3 linked regions of the Tamandua tetradactyla genome follow. The protein of the gene in region 1 binds, or shares a complex with, the protein of each later gene. Links are inferred from orthologs where the notes say so. Each region holds a gene or a part of one and is shown on either strand. Other genes may lie near its edges.

Region 1 (7,819 bases):
CAAGGACACAAGCAGATTCCTACTGGCCACCCTCTAAATAAACCCTAGCACAGGGGACATGAAAAGCAAGGAAAAGACATTCACTGGTGAAAAATCGAGACTCAACCTCCTACCCGGGACAGAAGGCCACAAAAACTGTGGATTATTTAGCCCTTGGAATACCATATGGCTGCCAAAGAGGACTGAGGCAGTCTGACAAAGAATCAAAGACACACTGACAAGCCATAACATTGTTATAATGCAATGCATTAATACGGTCCCTATTTGGATTAAAAACAAATCATGAAATCTGTTTTCCTTGGTACCATTTCCATGACACTGATCCATTTCAGGAGCAACCTCTGCTTGCATAAGGGCGTCAAGGGGGATTGCTCCCTTATTTGTATGGTAGGAATAATGTGCTATTAGAACAAGGGAGTTAAGAGAAGATAGTTTTAAAAACCCTTAGGAAATGAAGGCTGTCATAACTACATAAAAAAAAATACTTAGGGAAAGAAAACACAGGAAAAAGATTTATTTGGGATCGTTGTTCAAATTTCTACTATCTTAAATTCTTTTCTACAGTAAACATATATTTGTAATGGGAAAACTTTTTTAAAAACTGAATGGCCACCAGCAGGGTGGAGGTGGACATAAAGGGTCAGGAGGAATGGCTGAATTGCAGAGCCTTGTATGTAGTAGGTGCTTGATAAACGCTCATTGCTACAGAAGCTGAGACTATAGTTTTTTCCAGAACTGCCCCCAAACAAATGCCAGTGCAGAGGGTCAGTGGAGACCACAGCTCTTTGCCTAGTGGCTACCCACAGCTGCAAGAGTTGGGGGTGCTGGAGAGCAAAGGCTGGGCCGATGTTTCTAAACTTCAGCTCCAGAATGATTCCAGCCCCTCCCCCTCACACACTCCAGGAGAAAAATGCTCACTGGCCCTTAGGCACTGTGGACAGGGTCTCCTCATTTGACCCCGTGCTTAGCTGTCCTCACTAACTCACCAGCTGCAGAATGAATGCTGCTGGTGGCATCCAGCCCCTAGCCCATCCCCCCTGCAGGCTCTGCCACTGTCCCTGCAGCCCTGGGCCTGTTAAGATCTTCTCAGTCAGCAAGATGGAAGTTACCTGCCCAGGCCCCAAGCTGGTACCCTCGGGGCCAGGCCACTGGGAGTATAGGAAGCATATGTACCCTCCCTGGTACACTATCAACCCACTCACTCATCAGAAGGAAGGGCCCCTAAAATCAACCTGGGTTTCATTCAACTTCCAACAGCATCTCCAGGAGGCGAGGCATCCCGGCAGCTAACTGCTCAGGAAATCTGGACTGCTGCTGAATTCATCAGTCTGGTCCCACCACTAGCAAGCTAAGTAACTGAGGAAGTTCTAAAATCTGAGGCCTCAGCGTCCCCCTCTGTAAAAGGGTTAAATGAGTTAATTTGGATAAAGTGCTTGGCGCAGAGCCTGCATACAAAATACTCTCCCAACAACGGTGGCTGCTATTGTTATTATTATTAGCATCTTGGTGATTCCGGAAGGAAGGCAGCACTGGGCATGGGGCCAAGGGGGCCAGGGGAGGCTCCTGGGATGCCTCTGGGACCAGCTGCCACCCGCGCCTCCATCAGCGGTTGGGTGGTTTCCACCTCGTCCTGGGCCCTGCCTCGCCCCTCCCACTTGTTCCAAGCCCCCGTGAGACCCCATCCTTCCTGGCCAGCCCCTGCCTGCCCGTTTGTGCCCCACCTTCACCCACAGGCTGTGCCAGTCAAACTGGTCTCCACACCCTGTCCTGTGGCCCACAGGTCCAAGCTCCGGGGCTCCTCTCCTTTCTCCGGCTATAATCCAGCCACGTCTGGGCCCCCCCAGTCTGAAATGCTCTTGCGCTTCTCGTTGCTCAGGAAAGACTCTATCAGGGCATTTCTCTGGGACATTTTCTCTCTTCTGGCACTAGGGATCTTGCCTCCAGCTCAGAGGCCCAACCCACCCCATCCTTCCACAGGGGCCCAAGGGTCTGCCTGCCTGATTAATGAGGTTCCATGGCAACCAGGGCCTGGGAGGGTGGAGGGGAGCAGATGGAAGGACAGGCAGAGGGAGGGGATCAGCAGCTGGCCCAGCCATCCCGCCCCTGCAGAGAAGGCCTCCCAATCAGGCAGCCTGTCCCCAGGGGCCTGGAGGGCCAGGCCTGCACCTGGCAGATCATCATCAAGGCAGGAAGGTGAGTCTTCTCAATGCTCCCCAAAAGCCCAACCCCAGGACGACCCACCCACCCTCCTCCGCAGCTAGCCATGCTCACTCCCCAACCTCAAATCCTGGTGTGAAGCCAGCAGGCCTCAATTCAAATTCCAGCCTCACCACTTGCCAGTTGTGTGATGGGGATAAGTCACTTCCCCTCTCTGAGCCTCAGTTCCTCCTCCGTCAGATGGGCACAGTGACAACACCGAGCTCGCAGCGTGGTTGTGGGTTTTAGATGGCTTGAAGTCCACCAAAGGCTCAACCAAAGGCCTGGCATGCAGTAAGCGCCAGCTGCATACACGTGGGCCACTATTATCACCAAGTCTACCCTCAAGTGGCTCCGATTAGGATGGTGAAGCCCACAGCACCGAGTGGCAAACAGGGACTGGCCCGAGGTCACCCAGCACCCCGGGGCGGGGCCCGGAGGCTCAACCCAGGCTCTGCACCGCCCAGTCCGAGGGCTTCAGTCCACCCCTCCCCTCGCCCCCCGCTGCCTCCGGGCCAAACACTGCGCCCCGCCCGGGTCGGCGCGGGGGTACAGGCTGCGCACTTGGCCCAGTGGCCCTGGTGTCCGTACCGGCGGGCGGCCGAGCGCAGGGCGCGGCGCGCTGGGTGTGGGCCGGAGCGCCTGAGGCGTGGCGAAGAGCAGCAGGTCGGCGTCGCTTGAGCCCGCGGCGGGCGCGGAGGGGCCGGCAGGGGCCGGCGGGGCGCTGGCGTCCTGCGCTGCAGAGATGATGACGATCTGCGAGGAGTCGAGCAGCCGCAGCGCGCCCGCCCCGAGGAGGGCCTCCAGCGCCGGCGCGCATGGGCCGCCCGCGGGGGCCCCGGCCACGGCCATGGCGCTCACGGCCCGCGCGGCCCGGGTGGCAAGCGGCGGCGGCGGCGCGGGCCCATGGTGGCCGGCCGCGGCGAGGGCTCGATCCCGCTCCGGATCCCACTCCGCCCGGGGCCGCCGCTGCCTGCAAAGTCCCGGCCACTTTTACGCGCCAAATCCTTTTTGCCGCGAAAGAGCCACGAGCCGCCTAGCGCCCTCGCCATTGGCTTCCCGGGTTATGACGAAGACGGCGGCGGCGGCGCCCACTGGTTGCAGCGCGCCGGGCCGGCGGCGACGGGCTGCACGGGGCGGCGGCGCGGGGCGGTGCAGCCAATCGCGGTCCGGGGCGCGCGCAGGCTTTGTCGGGGCGGTGCCCGGCGCGTTCACACTCCCCGCCCCCAACCCGGACGGCCCCTGCTCAAGGCGTGGTGGCCCCACCCCCGCCCCACGCGCTCGGTCCTGCTGACCATGGTGTAGAGCTTCCATTCTGCTGCTATCACGTCTCCGTCTGCAGCCCCATAGCACATGACCCCCAGACCTGCAGCCCACACTCCCAACCTGCAGCCCTCATACCTCAGCCCAGATTTCCAGAAACTTCCTCCTCCTCCTTTCTGAATTCTCAGGCCCACCTCCAAAGCCCCAGACATATTTCCCATCCTCAACTTGCCCCACCTATCCACCTATGCTGTTTACTCTCAAGTCCTACGCTCCTCCCAATCCCGTCAGTCTTACCCAGTCAGAGCCCAAACCGAGGGGGCTGCCAGGAAACCGGGAAGAACTCGATATGGACCTGGCGCTTTCCTGCAGCCGCATCTTAGCTGGAATCCCTTCAATAGCCAATGCACAAGCTTCTACCTGAACTCATTCATTCATTCGCTCATTCAACAATCGTTTTGAGAGCCTGCCTTGTGCTCCATCCTTATTTAAGACCTTGACTACTGGCCCTAAGGATCTCACGGTCTAGTGAAAGGATGAGAAGGAAGAGGTGGCAAATGTTTACAGCATGATGAGGAATTTCCGCCATTAATGTGACCCCATGTTAGGACCTAACCAAAGGAAGGAGGTGGGGATACTGAGCACAAAAAATGCATTTAATCCGGAAGCCCTGGGACATCTCCACCAGCCATTTCTCCTTGCTCATATCAGTCCATTTGACCAGTATTGTCCTCAACACTGTGCCAGGCCTTGTGTCAACACTGGGGACAGAAATGTGAAAGATTTGATAACTTGTACAAATCTAGTGCTGTTTGGTGTGGGTGATCTACAAGAAAAAAAAGTAACTAAGGCACAAACGAAAATCAAATCCCCTGGTCCAGTCTAAATACCACTTCTTCAGGGAGCCCACCAGAGTCGGAGTTACTCACTTCCTCCATTGCCGGTTGCTGCCTCTCTGTTCAGGCACTGATCACGCTTCTTGGTTTCTCCATCTGCCTCCCCTATCAGACTAAGATCTCCAACAGCGCCCCCCTCCGCACGCTGGCCTGGCTCAGAACAGGCACAGAGGAGGGTTATGAAAGAAACAGAGGCTACCCAGAATGCACCAAGGAGGCCCTGGTTCTCCAAGAGTGGTCCTGATCACTTCAAAATCACCTAGGCACCTGTTAACTTTGGGCCCATCCCAGCCCTGCTAAATTAGAATCTTTGAGGGCCCACGAATTTACATTTTAAACACATATCCCTTCCCACCCCCATCCAGGTGATTTTTAAGTACTCTAACATTTGAGACAAATTGGTATACCTGTATAACCAAGATGCGTGGTGAAGCCTTAGATTACAGCCCCTTAAGGAAAATTTTCAGCCTCAGTTTCCTGATCTGTAAGATGGCACATAGACCTTGCCCTGGCCCCTTCCAGGGTTGCCATGAGGATAAAAAGCACAAAGGATTTTACAAATGTTCTATAGATTGGAGGTGATTTAGGAAAGCAGCAGGAATGTCTTTCCTTTTGTAATGATCAGTTTGTGATGTTACTCATGAAAATCATAGAATGTGTTAGAGCTGGAAGGGACCACAGAGATCACATAAGCCTCTTGCTGTACAAATGGAAACACTAAGGCATACCCAGGGACCAGGGTCTGTGAAGCCAGTTAATTGTAGGATCTGACCCACGCTAGATTCCCAGCCCTGGGGTCTGCCTGTCCTTCTTTTACCTGAAAATAGAGAAGCTGAGGGATAGGTGACATACTAAATAACTAAGCCAGACCCTGACAGACTGAGAGAAGCTGGCAACATTCCCATTCCATATGGAGAACATTTCCTTTGCCTACACCCTCTCATAGGGTCCCAATAATAGGAACACTCACTTTTGTAAAGCCCTCTCAAACCCAATAGTCATTCAACAAACACTCACTGAATACCTGTCATGTGCTGAGCACCATGCTGGTTGCTGGAAAGGAAGGCAGATGCTGTTATTATTACCCCAATTTACAATGAAATGAGGAAACCAAGGCTCAGAGGGCATAAGCTTACCTAGTAGAGGATAAGGCATGAGCTTGGCCTAGTAGAGGAAAAGGCTATTATTCAGGCTTGGTGCGGACAAGGCCAGGGATTTTCTAAAGCCCTACTTGCCACCCTGCCCCTCCCCACTCCCCACCAGGTCCTGCCCCCATCCAGGCGATCAAGCACATAACCTCTCAGGTAGAAATAGGTGCCTTCCTTCTCCCACAGCAGAAAAGAGCAGGTCTAGATGGAGGAGGCCAAGCAAAGGCCAGAATTCCCAGCATGAAATCTAGAAGAGATAAGGACCTTCTATATCTCTTATATATTTTCTGTATCTTCTGCTTACTAATAACCATTTGTAAGCAGAAGAGATCTGACAGATCGGGCTCCTTGGCCCTGAGCCTGGCAGATCCTGATAAGTCTGTTCCCAATGTCAACAGCTCTCCTCTGCTAGGTTGGTAGGCTTAAAAAAAAAAAATCCACAATTACTGGGCAGCCACTTCAATTGGTGATCACCTTTCAACTTGATAATCCGATAAGTAATGTCTGTTTATCCACATTGCTGCAAAGGAAGGAGGCTGAGAGAGGGGCCCTCACCGGCAGCCTGCTCCTCTACAGTCCCCAGGGTCTGCCCTTCATACCCTACCACCCTCTAAAATTACCCTGAGATGCAGAGCTTTCAAAAGGTAGCACGGTGGAGTGCGGTTCCGTAGGAATTTACTCCCATTTCCACCTCCACTAACTCTTCATTCAAGAGGAGTCCAAAGGGGGACCCACAATTCTCTCTCAGAAGACACATTCCCCTTGGTTCTTTCCAAGAGGCAGGATGATGTAGGGGTGACAGCTTGGGCTTCTAAATCACATGGTCAAAACAGGGATCTAGGTCTGTGCGAACTTGGACAAGTCACCTCACCTCTGAGGCACACTGATTCGATCCACAGATCTGCACTGAGCACCTACTGTTTGTCAGACATTGTGCCAGGTGCTGGGAGACAGCTGTGAAAAGCCGGACTCATCTCTGACACCTGTATCTCACAGTCCAGTGTGGGAGTCAGAATTGTCTATGCACCTGCACAACACACTTGTTAAGAAGTTTGACAATTGACACAAATAAGGTAAAACCATTTATTCCATAAACATGGCCCCTCAAAATACATATATGTTGAGCTTAAAAAAAATAAAATCTCCAAGCATGTACATCCCATCATTATACTGAGTACATAATCAGAAGTGATTCTGTGGCACCTTTATTTTATGGGGCACAAAGACATCCATTGTCCAGTCCTGGGAGGGGGAGGTGGGGAGTTTTGTGCCCCCAACTCCTCATTCCTCTTGAAGGATCCCTCATTGTTAGACTGATTTCTCTGCCCGACTGACAGTTTACTGTCCCTGGAGGTGTCCTGTCACTGTGCCAGCTCTGGCTGGGTCTGAGAGGTGCTCTACCAGGAGCCAGCCTTTGGAGTTAGGCAGACCCCCCAGCACTGTGGCTTCCTGCCTATGCAACCGCGGGTAACCGCGGGTAAGGGACTCCCTCCCTCCAAGGGCTTTGCTGGCCTCATTTGTGGAACAAGGGATGACACTCCCTTAACAAGATGGGCCTAAGGCTTAAACGTGGAAACAAGGCACAGCAGAGCGGGCACACTGGCCCACAGGTGTGATTTATAGGGTATTTTTCCCTTAATTATGAATGTTTTAACATTTAAAAATTGGGAAACGCCATATAAAAAGTCGAAGATCTGGCTCTTTTTAAAACAGCAATGTTTGGCCATCTGGCCAGGTCATCACAGTGCTGAGCAGTTGCCACCCCTCATTTAGCCAGGGCCTCGACCCTCCAGGCCACTGCGGCCCAGAGCTCATGTCGGGGGAGCCCCTCTTCTCCCTGAGGCTCCCCCAGGGCCGCTTCCTTCCTCTGTCTCCCCCCCACCTAAGGAGGGATCACACCTTTCCAAGGAGAGGGGAAAACAGCACACAGTGGCTATGCCTGCGGCAATCAAGCTTCCTGGGTGAGGGTGCCTCAGAGCCGAGGGGCCCACAGTGCTTAAACCCCAGGCTCCACAGCGTTGCCAGTTCCTTACCGCCTCTTCCCCAGCCTCTCTGCACCTCTGTGTTGTAGTCTGTAAAATGGGCATAATGACATTAATAATTGTTTACTTGATAGGGTTTTTGTGACAGATGAGCTTTTAAAGTGTTTAAAACAGTACCTGGCACACACAAACATATCAGTAAATGTCAGCTGCTATTAAGAATGAGGGATGACTCACTCAAGCACTTGTCTCCATCTCATCTTGACTTTTCCAAAAGGAAAAAGAAAAACAGTTCTTGTTATTCTCCTATGCAGCACAGGAGAGTTTTCAGGGA
Region 2 (7,855 bases), on another chromosome or scaffold:
CTCTGGCAGCCTCCTTCCATCCCACATCCCTGAACCCCAGGCTGAGGCGCACGGGCCTATGTGCCCAGGCCGCCCTCCCCGGCCTCCAGCCTGGCCCTAGAGAGAAACGGTCTCTCCTCTGTGCAGGCTGCGTCCTGGAAGATGAGCACCAAGGAATGGTCCACTACCACCTGCCCAGCTACGGCCTCAGCTGGGCAAAGGTGAGTGTATGCCTGGCATCTGGGACAGCACACCAAGGAGGTCACCGCTCTCTGGCGACTTGATTCCTTTCTCTTTTGGGTGGGAATCACATTCCATGCTGCTGCAGGTCCTCTTCTGATGTCTCCATGGCAACGTTCACAAGGATTTCATACAACATAAGTGTTTGAGCTGGAAGGGACTGCGGAGATCAGCTCTGCCCATCCCCTCATTTCACAGAGGGGGCGTAGGCCCAGGGAGGGCCTGCCACATACTCAGAGGCCCTTCCCAGCCAGAGGCCCTTTCCCCTGAGTGCACACACAGCCGAACTGGAGAACTTACTTCCTGGAAGGTGCTCTGGGGGCATTTGAGAGAGGGATGGGCCTATGGGGGTCCTTGTTGCAACCCAAGAGACTTCCCCCTCTCCACCCCTCTGCTGCCTTCCCCTTGTCAGTGCCCTTCCTTCCTGGCGAGCCCGGTCCTCCTCCGGGCCCTGTTGACAGCACTCTCCTTACTTCCTTCAGGTGTTTGGGACTCTGGAGCGAGCCAAGGAGGAGTACTCCCTGGACGACTACTCAGTCAGCCAGATCACCCTGGAGGACATCTTCCTGAGCCTCAACAGCCCCACGGCCCTAAGCAGGGGAGCGAGTTAACATGAGCGCGAGCAAAGCCACTGGGCCTCCCTCGCCCCAGGTCCTGCTCTCACATGGCAGCTTGTCTTGCTATAATAAAGGGTTCCTGGTGCCCAGACTAGCCCAGGGTATGGATGTTTGCCGTGGACAGTACCAGGCAGAGAAGCACATAGCTCTCCACCTGGGCCCAACCCAGCTTGGAGGCTTGGTGGAAGTGCTGGGGGTGTGTTAGTGCAAAAGTTGGCTGTGGCCTCATCCAGGTCAGCCACGTCCTATTCATAGTGATACAGAGACCTTGTCTGCCACAGCTCTGTGCTCAGTGCTTGGCAGGGCTCCCACCCATCTGCATGGCCCTCAGACCAGGCCTCAGCTTTGCTAACGGGCAAGGAGTCTGCAGAGCTGAGGGGATATGCTTCCCCAGAGCCTACACCCTTCCTTCTCCAGAACCCCTTCCTCATCTACTTCAGAGCCACATGTCCTCCCTCCCTCACGCATGGGTCGGGCATGGCAGCTGTGTGCACTGCCGTGGGCAGGGTTTGGACAGGTGTGCTGGGGTCCACACAGTGGCACACAGATCCCTCAGCATACACAGTGGAATCAGGGATGGGAGAGGAGGGGACGGCCACACACCAGGGCTGGGTGGCTTGCCACATGATGCCACGTGATACCACGTTCAAGCGTGGCACTTCAAAGAGTCCAGGAATTCTAAATTCAAACCTGACCTCCCAGGTCATAATGAAGGTAAGGTAGGAGAGAGCATATTTAAGTTTGCTAGCTAAAAGTAGTTTATACTTTTAAAATATTTAAATGTTTACATATACAGGCCCCCATTTGCTCCCTTGCCCTGGCGCCTGCCAGTGTTTGGGGTGAACCTGCATTTCATGCTACATGGACCTGATTAGCTTCCCCATTTCAAGAAGGGTAAGCTGAGACAGACAGTGTGGCCCCTTCCCAGGTCAACAGATAGCAGCACCTGGGCCCTGGACCAACAGCATCAGCAGCATCCAGAAACTGGTTAAAATGCAGATTCTCAGGCCCCACCTCAGACCTCTGATTCAGGAACTCTAGGAGGGCAGCCCAGCAGTCAGCAATATAACAGCCTGTCAGGTGATGCTGCTGTGCCAGCCTGAGAGCCACTGAGAGCGGCAGGCAGGGGGGCTGTGCTGGCCACACAGATTCTCCTGGAGACGGCACTCCATCACACAGCCTTTCCCTCTCCATCCAATGAAGTCCAACTACCTCTCACCATTGGCTCCCTTCAGAAAGACCCTCAGCTGCCATTCTGATGTCTGAGGAGCTCTTTCCTTTCCTTCTCAGCCAAGCTTCAGGAAAGTGTGGTCCACTTTCTATCAGCACAGCTAGTCTGACTCCTGTGCCCACCTGACTCCTATGCCCACCTCTCAGCCAGAATTAGAGCTTTGTCACACCCTAATTACCATGCCCACTGGCTTCTCTTAGTCCTTCCTTCATTCGAATTCCAAGGCACTACTCGCAGCCTCTGCTACTGGAGGAAAGCCTCTTCCTCACTGCTGCTCACTGCCTTCTGGCCTCCCCATCACTCCTGTCTCTGATGCAGGCTCCGTCCTCTTCCTTTGTGTCTAAATGGGGGCATCCCTCAGGCTCCCAGCCTACTTCGCTTTCCTTACTCTTCCCTCTGCACCCTGCCACCCTTGGCTTTCTCATTTACCCCCACCTCATTCCAGCCAGGATCTTCCCTGGGCTCCTGCCAATCTAGAAGTTTTCAAGTTCTCTAGCCCATCCCCATACTTTCTATGAGCTGCTCGTAGCTCTGGTTTGGCCCTCCCGGCTCTTGCTGCCAGTGTGGTGGATGGGAGGTGAGAGGAGTGGTGACTGAACACTACCTACAGCTGCTGCCAAGAGAACACCTGTTTCCTGAAAAATAAGACCTTGCTCTTAGTAAATAAGAGTTAAGAGGCAGCTGAGGTCCTTGGAGTAATAGGGTGATATTTTAGACAGCATGATGTGGGATCTGCATCCAGTGCAGAGTGAGTGGGAGCAGTGTGTGGCTGCTGATTTAGCCTAGTTCTGTAATCCCTCAAAGGAGGCAACAAAACTAGCCAGAAAAGAGTGCAACTCTTTCAGGAAGACAGGTAACAAAGTAACAGGGCGCGGAGGAGTTAGGCTGCTGAGTTACACCATGGGGGATATAGTAACCAGGGGGGAGGGAGGGGAGCCTGGTATGTCAGAAGCCCTGGTGGGTGCTTCCCCTTCCTCCTGTGGCAATACTGGACATCCAGAAAGCAGTCCCCCATCCAGCGCCAGCAGGCTCAACCCTGTCCTCTCTCAGCCTCCTGAACCCCCTTCCTCAGTTTGGGGCAGGGACTATTTCCAACTTTTAGGCCTCGTCTAATATGCCTTTGGGCCTTCCTGGCCTCTCCTGACCTGCACACTTGTCTCCTGCTCTGACCCCTGACTCCAAGGCTCCTTAGCTGTGTGCACCCACCCAGCACAGACAAGTTGTAGCAAGCTCAGTGAGCAGGAGGGATGGGGGACTGCCGGACACCCGAACAGGTCTCCCTCGCTCCTCAGAGGAAAAGCCACTCTTTCTATGAAACATCTCACTTCTCCGTAGAGATGCCTTTTCTTTCCTGACAGAATGTCTCAAGAAAGAGGTGGGGGTGAAGCTGGGCAGTGGAGGGCAGGCCCGGGTGGACAGTGCGCAGTGCGGGGTGAATAGAATGCCCCGAGTGTGAAACTTTCCCTGTGGACCGGCAGCAAGCAGGCCAAACCAGCAGGGATGGCCTGGTCCTCGGAGGCAGGAGAGACTGGACAGCCAGGGACTTAAGGAGCCGCTGGGGGCACGGGAGCCGTTTCCGGGAGGAAGGGCCCAACCTGTGGAGAGAAGTGCCCTGGGGTCTGCGGGGATCGGATCTGCCTGGCTCTCGGCGACGCCGGCCACGGCCCTCGGCAGGACCCCGGGCACCGCATCCCAGACAAACGGCGTCGCGGACCTCCGGCGCGAGGACGGGACACCCGGTGCCCGGGGGTCGCGCCCAACAGCCGCGCGCTCCCTGGGGACGCAGCCCGCGGAGGCGGGGTGGTTGCACGAGCTCCGCCAATGAACGGCCGGTGTTCGAATTCGCGTCCTGGCGCGGCCAATCGAGGGCTCCCGGGGACTTTGAGGCGGGCGGGGTGGGCGGGGAGGGGCGGGGCTCGGCGGCCCGCGCCCCCAGGGCCGGCCAATAGGAACACCGGGCGCGTTTGAAACCGCGGCGGGAGGCGGGCGCGGTCTGCGCCTGCGCGGCGGCGGCGCGCACTCGGGCGGCGCGAGCGGGCGGGCGATGGGGAGCGGCGGCGGTGAGTGCGGGCTGGGGGCTCGGGCCGGGGCGCGGGGCAGGCGGCTGGGTGGCAGCCGGCTCGAGGGGCCGGGATGGGGTGCCCGCTCCTGGGAGCATAGCGGGGCGCGGGTGGCCCGAAGGCCGGGCGGGCGCCGCAACCGGGAGCGAGCGCAGTGGCGGGCGGCGCTGAGGGTCCCGGCCCGCGGGCGCTGGGGGTCCCCAGTGGGCCCTCAGCGTGGGGGCGGCGCGCGGGCCCGGGCAGGGTCGGGGTCAGTCCCGGGTGAAGCACACACGCCGGGCACTGGCCGCCCGGAGGTAGACACAGGTCCCGACGGGGCGGTCGGCGGAGAGACGCTCCGAGAAGGGCGCGGGGTCGCGGCCGCGCGGCCGGTGGCGAGAAGCAACCTTCCCTCCCGAGGGCGGGCGGGCGGGCGACTGGAAAGGCAGCGCAGGATCTGCGGGTTCCCGCCTGGTGGGTCTGGTTTCCCAGGAAATGGGTCAGGCCGCACCGTAGGATGAGGCAGGAGTTGCCGGAGTACAAGTCGGAGCCGCCCTGGGGGAGAGGGTCCCCGCGGGTCTGCTCTGCGATGGGATGGCTAGGAGCCCTGCCGAGGGGCTGGCGTCTCCTGCCTCGAGGAGCTGGGCGTGGGACGCCGAGGGCTTGGCAGCCTCTGGTAGCCCCTCGCAGGAGGCAGCAGAGCCCAGACTTGGACACGAGACGACACGGCCTGGCCTTGGTTCCTCGGTGGGGCTGACCCTCCTTCAGGAGGGCCTACAACCAGGCTATTCAAGTCCTCAGACACTGAACGTTGTGCCTTTTAGTGAAGATAGAAGCAGATAATCCAAGCAAGGGTTCAGAGGGTTTTCCTGAGAATGGAATGCAAGGAAAAGTATCATTCCTGTTGGTCAGTGTTGTTTTTTTTCTCTGTCTGGTTGTCACTTAGTTCTGCCTAGAAAGTTTCCTAGTAGCCAAGTACATGGTATCTACTATTTTCCATAAATGTTAATTGAATATTTAAGCCAATTATTATGTCATCTATACTTTGTCACATATACTACTCCTTTATTTAATCTTTGTTTGGAAGTAGAAATGTGATCTGTTCCTTCTTTGTGGGATATGGGACAGCAACTGTTAAAGCATCTTCCAATACAACTCTTGATATCTTCATGACTCCTTTCCAGTACGTCACTCATACTGTTCTGATCTTTTTTCCCGAAGTGATCCACTGTAGGTGTGCCAAGTGTTTCTGTTATCCTACAAAGAGAAGAATAAGAAAAAGACCCCGAAACCTAACTCTTTTGAGTCTTCCCGAAGATGTACTGGTTCACATCCTGAAGTGGCTTTCTGTAGGGGATATCCTCGCTGTCCAAGCTGTGAGTTGCCTTGAAGATAGGACCAAAGAACACCTCGGGCTTTATCTGAGATTCTACAAAGTTTCCCTGCACTATGATTCCTCTCCAGACACTTCCAACCTCCAGATAGCTTCCTAGACCAGATAAGTCCTGAAACCCAGAGGGCCCAGCCTCTCCAGAACATCAACTAGTTCTATCCCCCATCCCATATTGTCGACACCCGTTACCAGAATGAAAAAGTTAGAATAGGCATCGCACAGATACCCTTAAAGATTGGAAGAAAAATCAAGGAGAAGGAGTAGTAATAACAGAGAAGATAGGATTTAACAAATGCGTATGACTGCTGAATCATATTGATATTTTTTAGTCTTCAGTGTCTTGGAGCAGCTAGAAGGAAAAACCTAAAATTGTGGAATTGTAACTCATACCAAACTCTGAAATCTGTTCTGTAACTAATTGTTGCAGTGTGCTTTGAAATTTATTGCTTTTTTGTACATGCATTATTTTTCACAATTAAAAAAAAAAAACAAATAGGGCCAGCCCCAGTGTGGTTCACTGAACCACCAAGGCTTGGGTTCTTAATGAGCAGAACAAAACTTTTGCTCTAAAGGAGGGCACAGGGCAAGAAGATGATGTTGTTGATAGATGGTTGTGGTTTTGTTTCCAGTTACAGGAAAGTTTAAATGTAGCAGTCTGAGCTTGGACATTTTTGGTTCTCTGTGCTGTTTTATTTCAATTAAGGAAGTAGTTTACTGCCTTGTATGGCAGTAAAATTTGAATTACTTAAGAATTAAAACAGTATTAAATGGAAAAGGAAAAAAAATGGATAAGGATGTATTCTTGAGGACATTTCCATGTAATATTCCACACTGAAAGGCACTCTAGTAATTATAGATACTGGAACCCGAGCCTCAGAGTGATTCATGTTGAGTAACTTCACTATCATACTGCAAGTTAGTGTGAAAACTCAACAGGAACCCCTTCCTCTCCCACCCAAAGCTGCCTTCATCGCACTTGTAATTCATTGCATGGAACCCAGGGGGTTTCCGATGGCAGTGGAAAGGTATTGGCTCCAGATGCCCCCCTGGCCTCAGCCCAGCCCAGAGGCCTTGCTGCCTCCACCCCAGCAGAGGCTCCCTGGTTACCTATAGCTCCTACGTGAGTGTTATAGCCGTTTCCACTGGTCCCCACCACCTGGGGGATGCAGGCCATGCTCCCACTTGCAAGGCCCCAGGGAAAGAAGCGCAAAACAGATTGCTGTCCTGCCTACCCCCTTTAGAGCCAGTTCCTCTGATCTCTGCAGACAGGCACCTCTGTAGAGGGGACTTCATTCTTTCCCAACCCAGGCATTTGTTCCTCCCTTTCCAAGACCTCTGTCTTCACCTTTAGAGCCTCAGAGAAACTCACCTCTGGACTCTTTCTTCTATTAAAAGCAACTGTTATTGGCATCCTTTACTATTTGGGGTTCGGAGGAAAATGGGAGACCCTGTAAGAGGCAACTTCCATGTCCAGCCTTCTAGAGCGTCTGGGAATGGGTCTTCTGGGAGGTCCTCTGATGGTCCCCCACCTGGCTGCCGTTCTGCAGGTGCACTCCCAGCTGAAGTTCCTGGTAGACCATCATGCCAGCATCTGGGCATGTGCAAGCTTCCAGGAACTCTGGCCGTCTCCAAAGAATCTGAAGCTCTTTGAAAGGTATGTCTACAGCCCAAGAGTGGCTCGGTTTCCCCCCATATCAGTCCTCTGGCTGGGAGCCTATGTCCCATGGTCTGACTCCCGCCAGCATTGCTGTTGGCCATGATATAGCCAGTAAATCACACTGCGTGTCCAGTGATCCACATGCTGGCATCCATCACAGTGGGGCTTCTGAAGGGTCCCACTTGGGCGTGACCCATTCCATGTGACTCACTGGCAAGCCAGCTGTATATGGAAGCTTTACTCAGACCTCCTTTCCATTAGATAAGAACATGTGATTTCGGTCCTACCCCATTTCAGTCACTGGCTGGTCATAACCCACCTGCCAGGGTCAGGACCAGAGGGGCCCCATGACCCCCTCTGTGCCACCCACCAGGTTCACGGTTGCAGGGGTACAACTAATCCCATGACATCTGACCTCAGAACCAGAGTCTGCTAGAGCCTCCTCAATTAACAAACCAAGAAGCCATGACTCAGGAGGGGCTTTTCCTTGCTGAGGCTCACATGCCTACTTAGGTTCATTCTGGCCCTTATTTCTGAGTTGCTTGAAATCCAGGCAGAGAGCCAAGTTGGTGCACAAATGCCAGACTTCTGTATTGCTTTTGCCGAGCTTGAGCAGCTTCTGCATCATTGGTATATATTTTTTATTGAGAGACGATCTACACACTATATACTTCGCCCTTTCAGAGCTCCAGTGGGTTT
Region 3 (7,303 bases), on another chromosome or scaffold:
AATGGTGTAAGGAGAAATGGATACCATTTACTACATACCATTTACAAAAATTAATGCAAAAAGGATGTAAGATCTAAATATAAGAACCCAAACTATACAAACCCTAGAATAAAACATGTTTTCTTATGTTAGGCCACGGTTTCTTATACTTTACACCAAAATCATAAGCAACAAAAGAAAAAAAGAGAAATGGGACCTCATCAAAATTAAAAATTTTTGTGCATCAAAAAACTTCATCATGAAAGCAAAAAGACAACCTATGGAATGGGAGAAAATACTTGGAAGACATATATCTGATAAGAGTTTAATATTCAGAATATATAAAGAAATCCTACAACTCTACAACAAAGACAAAACAGCCCAATCAAAAAATGGGCAAAAGAACTAGAATAGCCATTTCTCTAAAGAGAATATACGAATGGCTAATAAGCACATGAAAAGATGCTCAACATCATTAGCCATTAGAGAAATGCAAATCAAAACCACAATGAGGTACCATTTCACACCCACTAGAATGGACACTATTAAAAATAATAATAATAAGTGTGGGAGAGGATGTGGTGAAACAGGAATATACATTCATTACTGGTGGCAAGGCAAAACGGTGCAGCCACTGTGAAAAAGAGTTTAGTTGTTTCTCAGAAGTCTAGAGTACTACCATATGATCCAGCAATCCCACCGCTAGGTATATACCCAGGAAAATCGAAAGCAGAGATTCAAACAGATATTTACACTCTGATATTCATAGTAGCATTAGCCACAACTGCCAAAAGAGGTAAGCAACCGATGTGTCCATCAAATAATGAATGGATAAACAAAATGTGGTATATATATATATATGATGGAATATTATTCAGCCACAAAAAGGAATGAAGTTCTGGTACATGCTACATCATAAATGAACCTTGAAGACATCATGTTGCATGAAATAAGTCAGCTACAAAAGGACAAATATTGTATAATCTCAATGATATGAAATAATTAGAATGTGCAAATTCATAAAGTCAAATACTAGAACACAGGTTACCAGAGGATGCCATGGAGTCAAAGACTGAAGAATTAATGCTAACGGGTAAAGAGTTTCTCTACGTGGTGATGGAAAAGTTTTCATAACAGATGGTAGTGATGGTAGCACACAGTGAATGCAATTACCACCATTTAAATGTATATTTGAAAGTGGTTAAAATGGGAAATTCTTAGTTGTATCTATATGTTATCATATAAAAATTTTAAAAAACCATAGAACTGAACAACCTGAAGAATGAACCCTAATGTATGTAAACTATGGCCTACAACTAATAGTTTATCTACAGTAATACCGTTTCATCAATTGAAACAAAAGCAGCACACTAATGCAATCTGTTAGTAATATGGAAAACGACAGGCATGCAGGTAGAGGGGAGGTATATGGGTTTGTGAGAACTCTGTACTTTCTACATGATTGTTCTGAAAACCAACAATTTCTCTAATTATAATGATAAAAGAAACAATGGACTAGAAATCAGAATACTTAGGTTCTAGTTCACCACCTTTTTTGTTTATTTTATTTTTCTTACTCTATTTGCTTACCATGTTCTAAAAACTCTCAAATACATAAAAAGCCTTTTAAAATAGCAAAGTGCCTAGACACTTGTTTTTGTGAAGCTTATTTCTGTAGCAGAGAGCCTAAGTTTACCTATAGTTATACCTAAGAGTGACTTCCAGAAAACCTCTTTTGTTGCTCAGATGTGCCTCCCTCTCCAAGCCCAGCTCTGCAAGTGAAATCATTGCCCTTCCCCCCTACCGTGGGACAAGACATCCAGGGGTGAAAGTCTCCCTGGCAGGATGGGACATGACTCCCAGGGACCAGCCTGGACCTGGCACCACAGAAGAGACAACACCTTCTTGACCAAAGGGGGGAACAACACTGTAACAAAACAATGTGTCAGTGGCTAAAAGGGTTCAAACAGAGTCAAGAGGCTATTCTGGAGGCTGCTCTTATGCAAGCTTCAGCTAGCTATTGCTAATTACCAAGGTCTGCAAACTGTGACCAAAACCATTCCTGTTAACCCTAAAGAACACCTACGACTCTATGTGAGAGTCTACAAAAATTTCACGAATTAAGGTTGCTTTTCAGAAACACACAACCTCCAGATGAGATCCTAGACTAGATAAGTCCTGAAAACCAGAGAAGCCAGTCTCACTAGTTCCATCTTCTGAGCCCATATTCTTGACACCCCTTTCCAACATGATAACGTTAGAATGGGCATAACCCAAACAACCCATAAAGACTGGGAGAAGGATGAAAGGAGAAGGAGGAGTTGTAACAGAGATGACAGGATTTAACAATATAACATAAACAATATAATATCATTATACTGATATTTTTCATCTCCAGTGTCTTGGAACAGCTAGAAGGAAAAACCTAAAACTGTTAACAGTAGCCCATACCAAACTCTGAAATCTGTTCTATAACTCCTGGATACAATGAACGTTGGAATTTATTGATTTGTATATATATCATAATAAAAAATGTTTAAAACAGCTAAGTGCTATGTAAATATAATTCATGCATTATGTACAAAACAAGACAGTATTTCTAACATCTCAATTCCTAATTAAACAAGTTGCTCTTTGAACATTTTAGGGTATGTTTTAGCGTACAGCTTTGATCCACAAGCACACGCTTTCCACATGAAAGGTGAGCTTATTGCTACACCCCATTTCAAGCTGCACTGCAGCGTACACAGACCAGGTAGTTTCAGAATTTCGGCTGTAACGGGAAAATACGAAGGAGCCCGTTGGACCACACATTCACAGGAGTTGGCGGAAAATGACAGGATCACAAAATGGCAATGCGAAGTCCTGCACACTAGAAAGTTTCAGCTTTCTTTCCTACGTAAACAAGCAGAAAGGAGGAAAGCTGAGAAGGGAGGGTTAGCAAGTCTCGGAACTCGACGAGCCAACGTACGCACCCCATCGCTGCCGCTGCCCCTGCACTCCCAGAAGGCGGCGGGCGGCGCGGCCCTGGGGGCCCCGGGAGGCGCGTGCGGGGGGCGGCTCCGGGCGGCGCATCTCCGCCGGGCTGGGGGCGGGGCGGGGCGGGGCGGGGGGGGCAGGCGCGCGCAGCCACGGGGGCGGTGTCTCCGCCGCGCGACAGGCGGCCCAATGACCGGGGAGGCGGGCTGCCGCGGGCCGTCCTCCACGCCGACTTCTCCGGGTCGTCCCGAGCGGCACCGAGGTCGTGCTTCTGCCTCGCCGAGGACGGGCGGAGGCTGCGTCTGCGTGAGGGGGCCATCTCCGGGGAAGGAGGACCGCGGCGCGGGGCCCTTCCCTCCACTGGCCTCCAGGGCGTCCCTCAGGAACACCACACCCGGCCCCGCGACGGAGGAGGAGCGACCGGCCAGCCCCGCCTCCGAGGCCCGCGGAGAACGCGGCCCTTCCGCGGCGCGGGCCGGGCGGCGGAGCGGACAGAGGGCGGGCCCACGGCGGTCACCCCGCGCCGCGAGCGGAGCAAGCGCGGGACGCTGCCCTTCCCGGCCCCGCGGGGCAGCGACCGGCCGGCAAGTGTGCTCCCGCCGCGGCCCCGAGCCCACGAGGCGCCGTCGGGCCGTTGTGGCCCCCTTTGGCGGCGGGACAGCACGGGGCGCACCCATTGGTCCGCTGGACGCATGACGCAAGGCGTTGCCCGCGGCGGATTGGCCGAGCCGGCCGTGCGTGCGAAGATAAACAAACCTTGCCCCAACCCTCCCGCCTGGGGCGGGGCCGCGCGCCACACCGCCCCGCCCTCTTCGGAGTCGGCGCGGGTCCGGGCTTCCCGCGCTTCTCTGTTCCCATAAACGCTCTTTTTTACTTTTCACTTGATAAGTATGTCTTTAAAAAAAAGTGTATTGAGAACCCTTCACGCACGTACAGTCTAGCCATGGTGTACAGCCAGCGGTTCACATATCACATCACCGTGGCCAATTTTAGAACATTGGCCTCACTCCAGAAAAAAAATTAAAATATCATGTGTCCCCTACCCCTTATCCCTCCCTCTCATTGACCACTAGTATTCCCATCTACCCAATTCATTTTACACCTTATCCCCCCTGTTATTTGTTTTTCATCTTTGTTTTTTACTCATCTGCCCATACACGGATAAAAGGAGCATCAGACACAAGGGCAGACACTGTTTTTGATGCTTGGGACACACCTGTGGACAAAACAGACCCGCTGGCCTCGGTGGAGCTTGCGGTCTAGTGGGGTGGGAAAGACCATAGAGAAAAAATAAGCAGAATAGAAAGTTACATGCTGGCAAGGCTACGGAAAAATTAATTATAGAAGGTGCTCACAGGTGGCTTCAGTATTAAAAACGGTGATCAAGGAAGACAGCAGTTAAACGAGGATGGAGGGGCGAGAGCACCGTGGATCTTTGTGGGGGACAATTTCTGCGTAACTGCGCTTAGGTAAAGGGCTCGGAATCCAAGAACGCCGGATGCAGGACTCCCCCAGTCCTGAAATGCCAAAATCCCGGAGGAGCGATTAACTTACATTTTCCACTAACAAATCATAAGGATCTATTTAGTGCCTACAAGAAATTTTGTTAAGGTTATATTCAATTTGATTTAGCAAATAGTTATCGAACTCTCTAGGCACTGAAGATGCAAAAACGACTGAGGCGGACAGAACCTCCCTTTCCAGGAACTGGGTCAGCCAGGGAACGGGACTCCCACCCCCAATACACGTGTCAGGCAGCGATGGTGCAAGTACACACTGGGGCTCGGGGACTATACTAGGCGGCAAGGCATTATTGAGAAGCTGTAGTTGTCAGTATATCTCTTATCTATAAAAAAAAGTATGCCCAATTATGCGGTAAGGGTATGGTTTAGAAATCGGGGATTAATGTTTCTAAGGTTAAGAGTGAAGTGAAGGTAATACTAAATTGAATCATATGAAATTGGCAGTATTCGACAATTTTCATGCAGTTCCCCTTTCTTGCAGTTAATATGAGGATTTTGCTTATATAATATATATAGTAAATATTCAAGAAATGATGGAAATTGTTATAATCATTCAATAATATTGATTTTGAAAAAAATGTGTAGGTGTTTCACAACACTTCCTAATACCACAACGTAAAATGGACCAAGTTTCAAATTTCCCATATACTGGTGTGATCTAGCTGTGAATTTCCATGAGCTCATCAGAACGTGCTGTAAAAGACAATAAAAGCCGATTTCACAGCAGGCCAAGAAATTCAGAATAAGGAACAGCCTGGTTTTGAAGCCAAAAACTGAAAATTCTCTAGAACAGAATAAATCATCAAGTTGCCACAGGGAGGAAAACTTCATGTAAATCAAATTTTCCTTCCCACTCATAACTCCAGCTGAGCAATTTGCACAACAGTCAATTTTCCCTCTTCGTTCTCACTTCCCCATTAAAGGATCCTCTTCTCTCTGAAAAGGAAAATGAAGCTTCCACCATCTCCCGGTTCTGGCGAGTAGATGTCTAAACCGTGATAGAATCGAGCTTATTGATTCAGCAAAAACTTAGGAAGTAGTTACTGTATGCCCGAAACAGTGGCGGGCGTTGGAGAAGTAAATATAAATGTCCAAAAAGCTCCATTAATCTGGTGTTTCTGGTGCTTCGAGCGATCCCCTAGTTCTTGTCTAAGCTTAACTACTTTCTCCGGAAAAGCTTCGTCTAGCCCCACCCCAGCTGTGCTCCGCTGCGACTCAGACGGCCTTCCTGACACTCACCGGACTCGTGACTGCGCACTTCGTGTCCGAATCCTGTGACTCTGGGGGGGTCACAGCCTTGTCACCCTGTATTCGCTACTGTCTCTTCGGTGCGTAAGGGAAGAAGAGCAGGTGTTATGGAAGGGATGAGAGTGCGGCGGCCGAGGGCGTCGGGGAAGAAGGAGGGTCAATCTCCCACTTGCATTTGTGTGGGCTGTCCACTAGGGGGCCAAGCGCCGTGTGAGGAAGACCAGCCTCCCTCACAGCTAGACCAGGTGACCTGCCCCGTTAGACCTGGTGACTGTCACTTTGAGAGCTGGTGACCTGGCACGTTAGACCTGGTGACCTGCCACGTTAGACCTGGTGACCTGTCACATTTAGACCTGGTGACCTGCCACCATAGACTAGGTGACCTGCCACGTTAGACCTGGTGACCGGTCACATTTAGACCTGGTGACCTGCCACCATAGACTAGGTGACCTGCCACGTTAGACCTGGTGACCGGTCACATTTAGACCTGGTGACCTGCCACCATAGACTAGGTGACCTGCCACGTTAGACCTGGTGACCTGTCACATTTAGACCTGGTGACCTGCCACCATAGACTAGGTGACCTGCCACGTTAGACCTGGTGACCGGTCACATTTAGACCTGGTGACCTGCCACCATAGACTAGGTGACCTGCCACGTTAGACCTGGTGACCTGTCACATTTAGACCTGGTGACCTGCCACCATAGACTAGGTGACCTGCCACAGTTAGACCTGGTGACCTGTCACAGACCAGGTGACCTGCCACCGCTCCATCCTCACATCCACTCCTGGCGCTGGACGCTCTTTTCTGCGTGGGCTGTGAGGACACCTGCCTGTGGCCTCTCCCACACGGATGCGCTCAGGAGTCGTAGGGGGTTCCAGCCGGGGTTCAGACCCGCAGCTCTGGGGCGCAGTGTAGGCCGCTTTTCCAGCACGCTTCCTGGCGTGCCGCAGGGCAGGCAGCCACACGCTGGGTCACAGCTTCTCATCAGACACAGCCCAGGGTCAGCGGGGTCCAGAGAGGATTGCTTCTAAGTGCCCCGTGGCACCTAATCTGCCCGGGGCTGCCAAGGGAAACGACACACCCAGCGTCAGGTCGGACCTGCCCTGGGGACACGTCCTGTGGGCAGTCGGGCCACCTTGGGGCCAGGCCAGTCCACCTCTGGGGTGACTGTTAGGGGACGGGAAGGGTTTCACAGCCACGTGGAATAAAGGCAGCTTCTTAATCCCAAACCTAAAGCCCTTTTTACGATAAAATATCTTCTTCATCCTCAGACATGTACAGTAAGCGATGTGAGGCCGGAGGACTCTGGCTGGACCCTCACAGCAGCCTGAGGAGGAGAGCTGCCGCCCCGGCGTCCCCACCAGCCCCGCTGCCCTCCCAGAGGAGCCCGGCACCCAGGCCGCACCGCCATCCCGGGTTTCTCTTTCTGAGTTGGACACCTGTGTGCTCCTAGCCAAATCTCTTCTTTAGTTTCGCATGTTTTTGCACCTCATGTATTTGGTGCCAAGCCATTATTTATCCACAAACCCTTTTTTCCTCAACATTATGTTTAACATCATCTCTCTTGCT

The links.
Region 2: the proteins of E2F1 (region 1) and CCNF are in contact, whole or in part, in a cryo-EM structure (PDB 9CB3), measured with the Homo sapiens proteins. The link is inferred for Tamandua tetradactyla from reciprocal best matches to the Homo sapiens genes E2F1 and CCNF. Residues at the interface, in NP_005216.1 of Homo sapiens: Gly84, Arg85, Pro87, Val88, Lys89, Arg90, Arg91, Leu92, Asp93, Leu94, Glu95, Thr96; in NP_001752.2 of Homo sapiens: Met309, Ile312, Leu313, Asp315, Trp316, Glu319, Val320, Met323, Arg349, Leu352, Gln353, Trp379, Leu380, Thr381, Asp382, Thr384, Asp504, Tyr505, Val508, Leu510, Thr511.
Region 3: E2F1 (region 1) and TFDP2 share a complex: the UniProt entries of both Homo sapiens proteins name them as parts of the DRTF1/E2F transcription factor complex. The link is inferred for Tamandua tetradactyla from reciprocal best matches to the Homo sapiens genes E2F1 and TFDP2.

What each region holds. Positions count from the first base shown.
Region 1 is NC_135327.1:19,289,039-19,296,857, reverse strand, and holds the start of E2F1 (transcription factor E2F1), read right to left. Parts: upstream 3,064-7,819; 5' UTR 3,049-3,063; coding exon 2,788-3,048; intron 1-2,787. UniProt on the Homo sapiens protein: Transcription activator that binds DNA cooperatively with DP proteins through the E2 recognition site, 5'-TTTC[CG]CGC-3' found in the promoter region of a number of genes whose products are involved in cell cycle regulation or in DNA replication.
Region 2 is NC_135349.1:54,972,644-54,980,498, reverse strand, and holds the start of CCNF (cyclin-F), read left to right. Parts: upstream 1-4,761; 5' UTR 4,762-5,275; coding exon 5,276-5,482; intron 5,483-7,046; coding exon 7,047-7,153; intron 7,154-7,855. Other genes in the region: ATP-binding cassette sub-family A member 17-like, read left to right, coding at 127-200, 702-830. UniProt on the Homo sapiens protein: Substrate recognition component of a SCF (SKP1-CUL1-F-box protein) E3 ubiquitin-protein ligase complex which mediates the ubiquitination and subsequent proteasomal degradation of target proteins.
Region 3 is NC_135341.1:86,245,250-86,252,552, forward strand, and holds the start of TFDP2 (transcription factor Dp-2), read right to left. Parts: upstream 3,041-7,303; 5' UTR 2,955-3,040; intron 1-2,954. UniProt on the Homo sapiens protein: Can stimulate E2F-dependent transcription.